Danio rerio: one gene and its partner. The protein of the gene in region 2 purifies or fractionates together with the protein of the main gene of each other region. This does not show direct contact. Links are inferred from orthologs where the notes say so. Each region holds a gene or a part of one and is shown on either strand. Other genes may lie near its edges.

The links. Proteins that work in one complex are often made in the same cells at the same time.
Region 1: the proteins of ift88 (region 2) and ift46 purify together in Homo sapiens (affinity purification with mass spectrometry; 3 studies listed by BioGRID and IntAct, with this or other methods). This does not show direct contact. The link is inferred for Danio rerio from reciprocal best matches to the Homo sapiens genes IFT88 and IFT46.

Annotation. Positions count from the first base shown.
Region 1 is NC_133185.1:34,664,266-34,667,550, reverse strand, and holds part of ift46 (intraflagellar transport protein 46 homolog), read left to right. Parts: exon of another isoform or gene 1-42; coding exon 43-191; exon of another isoform or gene 192-229; intron 230-1,120; coding exon 1,121-1,195; intron 1,196-2,762; coding exon 2,763-2,856; intron 2,857-2,932; coding exon 2,933-3,061; intron 3,062-3,156; coding exon 3,157-3,275; intron 3,276-3,285. UniProt on the Homo sapiens protein: Forms part of a complex involved in intraflagellar transport (IFT), the bi-directional movement of particles required for the assembly, maintenance and functioning of primary cilia. May play a role in chondrocyte maturation and skeletogenesis.
Region 2 is NC_133184.1:22,989,342-22,992,864, reverse strand, and holds part of ift88 (intraflagellar transport protein 88 homolog), read left to right. Parts: intron 1-586; coding exon 587-773; intron 774-867; coding exon 868-976; intron 977-1,136; coding exon 1,137-1,287; intron 1,288-2,607; coding exon 2,608-2,723; intron 2,724-2,806; coding exon 2,807-2,859; intron 2,860-2,938; coding exon 2,939-3,004; intron 3,005-3,090; coding exon 3,091-3,197; intron 3,198-3,523. UniProt on the Homo sapiens protein: Positively regulates primary cilium biogenesis. Also involved in autophagy since it is required for trafficking of ATG16L and the expansion of the autophagic compartment.

The DNA.
Region 1 (3,285 bases), on a different chromosome or scaffold from region 2:
ACTTATGATTTCGATGCATAACTCATTCACATTTGACAACAGAGAAAGAAAGAGCCACCACCTGGTCCCCGCGGTGCTAATAAGAATGATGAAGAAGAAGATGAGGATGATGATGATGACGACGATGATGATGATTCTGATGACACAGAATCTGATGAGGAGGAAGAGGAGCCAGGATCTGCTCCAGAAGGGTAGAGCTGCTAGCCATTATTTACTCACACACCGTCTGCTGAAAGGAGTAGAATTAAAAAAAAAAGTAAAAAGAAAAGTAAAGTTTCAGTAATAAATTTAGTGTTTAGAGGATTATAATACAGTATCTACTTAAAACCAAAAGGTATTTTATCATTTTTTTTGTGGTGAAATAGAAAGACAGAATGACTGACTTAAATATTTTATTTACTTTTAGCTAAATGAATAAAAGTGATAGATTATTTGTTGAAAATGTATTTTAATGATAGTACTTGGTGCATTATAATACATAATCTTCTCAAAACCAAAAGGTATTTCAATTTTTTTTGGTCTTTATATTAAGTGGCCTTAACTACATAGGAACTTACATGTACCTACATGTACTTACGTTGTTACAATGTACTTATTAAGTAAATACATGTATTTACTGTGTACTTATGCTTGATTAAATACATGTATGTAATTACATCTGTAATTAACTTTTGTAATTACATTTGTAAATACACTGCTGACCATTCCCTACACCTTAACCCACCCTTAAACCTACCCATGCCACCAAACCTGTCCATAACCCAACCTCTATCCCAACTCAAAAGCACCACAAGTGTTCTCAAATACATTATAAACACAGTAAGTGCATTGTATTTATTTTTTTGATGTAAGTACATAGTAGTTAGGGACACTTAATATAAAATGGGACCTTTTCTTGTGTGCGTGTGTGTGAAAATAATGAAAGAGAATCACTGATATTCATATTTTTTTTTCTTTTAGCTAAATGAATCAAAATTATTGATTAGTTGTTGGATATTGTGTATTTTAATAATGGTATGTGGTGCTTTATACTACATAATCTATACTAAACCAAAAGATAGTTTATGATTTTTGAACATAATGTACGTTTATTTATGCATTTATGTATGACTCTTCATAGTGCTTATGACCCGGCTGATTACGAGCATCTTCCTGTGACAGGCGAGATCAAAGAGCTGTTTCAGTATATCACAAGGTCAGCATGCAACCACTTCACACCTTTACAAGAAACAGTGTTTAAAGGAATGTGACAAAGCTGCAGTGCATGCTTATAAGCTGAATTTGCATTTACATTAATGCTAACATTAGGGCTATAGTTATCACTCTTGGTGAATGAGCCTTAACACTGTAAAAAATAATATTATTGTGTCATAAAACTTTAAGAATAATTCAAACATTTTGAGCATCTAATAATTATTTTTTTTCAAAGGCATTATCTGGTGAAAATGATTGTGAGTTTTAGAATTAAACTCTTTTAATTCTGTCTTTTGTAATATGTCGTACATTTAATTTTATAAAATTACTGCTTGATTGAAAATGATAAACAGATCATTAGCAATTAGGTAACATGATATTTATGTACAGTTGAAGTCACAATTATTAGCCCTCAAGTAATTTTTTTTCAAATGTTTCCCAAACAATGTTTAACAGAGTAAGGAAATTTTCACAGTATTTCCTATACTATTTTTTCTTCTAGAGAAAGTCTTATTTGCTTCATTTCGGCTAGAATAAAAGCAGTTTTCTATTTTTTTTTTGAAAACCATTTTAAAGTCATTATTATTAGCCTCCTTTTTTCGATTGGTTACAGAACAAACATTGTTACTCAAGGAGATGACTTGCCTATTTACCCTTACTTTCCTAGTTAACCTAAATAACCCAGTTAAGCCTTTAAATGTCACTTTAAGCTGTATAGAAGAGTTTAGAAAAACATCTAGTCAAATATTATGTACTGTCATCATGGCAAAGATAAAATTGATCAGTTATTAAAAATGAGTTTTTATATACATGCTTGGTGACCCCTGTCCCTTAAGCCACATGAATAAAGCTGAATCACAGTGGATACAGAGCTGTATCATGCTGGGCAGATGAGTGATTGTTAAAAACTGGAAATCTTCCAGTTGACCTCAATCTTTGAGTGGATCTCAGGGTTAGGACAAGTTGCAGCTTTTGAAAAACTCTCCTACAGTTTACATGGAAGAATTTAAATTTATTTTGATAAATGGGTAAAATTTCAGCGACCCAAAATGTTAGCAAACATGTAACGAGACAAAATAATGATTAAGGCTATGATATTAGCAACCATCCCCCCCACCCCCCCCCCCACCTTTTTTTTTTTTCTTTTTTTTTACTTCCCTTTTTTCTTGTATGTCTTTTGGTTTGGTTTACTTACTCAATTTATATGATGTTATTTTTTTATTGAATTTATTTATTTTGTATATATTTTTTAAGTTTTTTAAACAATTATTTTTAGAAATGTGTTGAAAAAATCTTCTTTCCATTAAACAGAAATTGTGGAAAAAATATACAGGGGGCTTATAATTCAGGAGGGCTAATAATTCTGACTGTATAAAGTAATTATTATAAATACAGTTATTTAAATATAATCACATTTTTTAAATTTGTAAAAATAAATATGTAAAAGGTTTTTAAGACCATTAAGTTATCATCTTCAGAAAGTAAAAAAAAAATAAAATCTTGAAGAAACAACCAAAACAAGGTCATTTCACTTTTTACTGGTATTAATTGTAAACTGTATTCTTTAGATACACTCCACAGACGATAGAGCTTGACCACAAACTGAAACCCTTTATCCCCGATTTTATCCCAGCTGTGGGAGACATTGATGCTTTCCTCAAAGTAAGTTAAACATCTCACACTTGAAGCACTGCTGCATTTCCAGCTTCATTATACATTTTCTCTTTGCGTTTTACAGGTACCACGGCCTGACGGAAAGCCTGACAATCTGGGTCTGCTGGTTCTGGATGAGCCGTGCACTAAACAGTCAGATCCGACAGTGCTTTCCCTGTGGCTCTCAGAGAACAGCAAACAGCACAACGTCACAGTAAGTCTTCGCACGCACTAGAAGACTAATGAAGACACTTTGAAGATTGCAGCCTGACAACTAAAATAACACTGTGATGCACTTCTCTTTCACAGGAAGTGAAAATTAAGAGCATTGAAAACCCTGAGAAGAACCCTAAAGCTATAGAAAACTGGATTGAGAGCATTAGCGAGCTGCATCGCTCCAAACCTCCAGCTACAGTTCACTACACAAGGCAAACACTA
Region 2 (3,523 bases):
GTGTTAAAACTGAACACAGAACACAAAAAGTTTTGTGCTTTTATTGAAAAACTCTATTAAAAGAGGACTTATGTCTGGGGTGCGGCCAATGGAGGACTTAACAATGATTGACATGACGAATTTCACTAAACTCCACCTGTTAATATCAGCTCCCTATATAAGTTGGTCAGGAAAAGAAAGTTGTTGCGCACCTCCTTAAAGTAACTTTTGCATTGCATAGATGATAACAGAATTCTGTGAATCAAATTATTCATTTGTATCCAATAAATTGTTACAATTTTTTGACCTTTTTTCTTGAACACGCATTGAATTGATTGAAAATTTCAACACTTTCATCGATTTTTTTTTTCGTTCTGATTGTTTCAACACAAAAACTAAATTGGTGAAAACAAAAGAAGATATTTTAAAGAATGTTAAAAACTGATTGTCAATGCATTCTATAGAAAGAAATAAAAGTTATGTGTAAGTATATGTAATGGCTGCCAGTTTACAAATATATGTTTTTGTATTATTTTTGGGTGAGCTATTCCTTTAATAAGATCCTCACAGATACCATCTTGATTTAATGTATATGTTTGTTCTCTAGGAAAAAGATTTTGACCAGGCTGACCGCTATGCAGAGCTGGCCATGAGCGCTGACCGCTACAACCCCGCAGCCCTCATTAACAAAGGCAACACGTTGTTTGTGAAGGAGGACTATGAGAAAGCAGCAGAGTTTTACAAGGAGTCTCTTCGTAATGACTCATCCTGCACTGAAGCACTCTACAACTTAGGTCTGATATCAGAAACATGACATCCCAAGGGGTTACACCGCATGAGATCCTTGCTACATTCAAAACTATTATTAATCTCTTTATCATCATGCAGGTTTGACGTATAAGAGGCTGGGTAGACTGGAGGAAGCTCTGGATTGTTTTCTCAAACTGCATGCCATCCTCAGAAACAGTGCTCAGGTCATGTACCAGCTGGCTAATCTGTATCCTTCCTTAAAATGTTACCATCACTATTAAATAAAAGCCTGTTATATAGTTACTTTCCAGTATGTAATTTGCCAATAAATGGCCTGACTTAAGAGGGAGAATTATAGTGTATGTTTATTTGTTTGGTAAGAGTCAATATTCCTGAAGCAGCTTTAGATATGAGATGTTGGAGGACCCTCATCAGGCCATCGAGTGGCTAATGCAGCTCACCAGTGTGACCCCTACAGATGCACAGGTGCTGGCCAAACTCGGAGACCTCTATGACAATGAAGGAGACAAATCTCAGGCCTTTCAGTATTATTATGAGGTAAACAAAAAATATATTCCCCTAAACCAACCACTGAATGGTTCAGTCTCATAGTTTAATCTCAAGTGATTTGGACATAAGGTTCTGCTAAATGACTAAATGAATGTAAAAGCAGGAGTAGAAACAGTTGAATTAAAAATAGTGATTCATTGAAATGTTAAATGTCATTCATATGAAATACAAAAATATTAAAGGGATAGTTGACCCAAAAATGAAAATCTACCGACTATTCACTCGGCTTTAAGTGGTTCTAAACCTGTTTCTTTGTTCTGTTCACAAAAGAATATGTTTTGATAAAAAATGTTGGAAACCTGTAATTACCGAATCCCATAGTAGGAAAAACAAATATGCGAATCAACTGTTACTGCTTTCCAACATTTTTAAAACATTTTGTGTTCAACAGGGAAAAATCACAGTTTTGTTACAAGTGAAGGGTGAGTAAATGATGTCAGAGTTTTCAGTTTTTGATGAACAATCCCTTTAATAAATCTCAAATTATTGAATGTAATAATTTAAGACATGTCAAGTAATTCATTGTAAATATCAATCATTTACATTTTTAACTGCAAACAGAGACTTGTAAAACTGCCTGTTTGTTAATTTAATAAGTTTGTTTCAATTATTTAAAAAAAAAAAGTGTAGTCCGAGCCATTGTTTGATTTTATTTTCCCCGTTCTGTGTTTATCTCTGACAAAATCTTTAAAATTTGGTATTAGAAAAAGAGAGAGACCTTCAAAACTATTTGCTGACATTTAAAAAAAAAAAAATTTTAACTTTAAGTTTATATGTAAAAGCTGCTCTGTGTCTGCTAAAATTCACTATAAATACATAATGTTGCATATAAGCCAGAGAAAACGTATACCTCTTTAGCCCTATTGTTAAAGTATGCAGTTATAATTGCAGTTTAAATGCGTTCTGAGCTGGATCAAACAGCCTGTGTAAAGACACCCAAATGCTACATCTGAGCCCCGTTTTAAGTATAAGTTGGGAATTTAAGAAACCATGTAACACAGTCAAGTTGAAGCTGCTCTGTGTCTGCTCAAAATTCATGATACGGACATAATGCTGCATAAAACCTGTTTAAATTATGCCTGCTCTGCCACTAGTATTAGTTGTAATTGCTGTGTAAATCCTTTTATTCCAACTTTCAGCATGATTATACACTGTAAAGCTTCTGTGCTATCTTTGTTTTTAAATATGGCAGTATTAAGATATGCCAAGATATTGAGATCACAGTATTGTAAATGATCAAAAACTGTTGTTAAAAGATTTTGAAAGAGGAAACGGGAAATTTTATTGAAATAATGCTGTTTATTTCAGTCGTACAGGTATTTTCCCTCAAACATTAGTGTCATTGAGTGGTTGGGTGCATATTACATCGACACCCAGTTCTGTGAGAAAGCAATTCAGTACTTTGAGAGAGCTACCCTAATTCAGTAAGTGGCTAAACTTCATATCTATTTACATGAATATTCTGCCTGGATCTGGAGATATATTCTTGATTTTTGTTGAATTTCAGGCCAACACAGGTGAAGTGGCAGCTTATGGTGGCCAGCTGTTACAGGAGAAGTGGTATGAGGTTAGATGTAATGACAATAATAAGAAAGTTCCATCTCAGTGCCATCAATTTTGTCACATTTATTTGTTTCAGGGAATTATCAGAAGGCACTTGAGACCTACAAGGAGATCCATCGCAAATTTCCTGAAAATGTTGAATGTAATGAGCTCAATGTTTACTTTGTTTTGATATTCAGTGCCCATCTCTTGACTTTACATCTCATATCTTTTTTTATTGTCGAGAAGGTTTGCGATTCCTGGTCCGGCTTTGCACAGATATGGGACTAAAAGAGGTGCAGGACTACGCCACCAAACTCAAGAAAGTTGAAAAAATGAAGGAGATCAGAGAGCAGGTACACGGTTTGGTCTTCCTGCAGTTTATATGCTGGCCTCTTCTGTGTCCTTAAATGGAAGAAAATAGGAGTAAAAGAGAAGAGTGAAGAAAAAACACATATAGCTGTCTAGAGGGATAATTCACAGTCTCTAAATCAAGTGTGTAGAGTTTCAATGTTTAGAATATAGGACTACAAGAAAAAGGAGATGAGCTGGATTTCTTTTTCTATTGGACACCCATGAATAACAATTGAGGAAGCTGTGTGTTGTTCTGGATATGGGTCAAAAAAATTGTCGCCCCATTTTGTTGACTGTATTAAAAAACATTTATATGCATAAAGCTTAT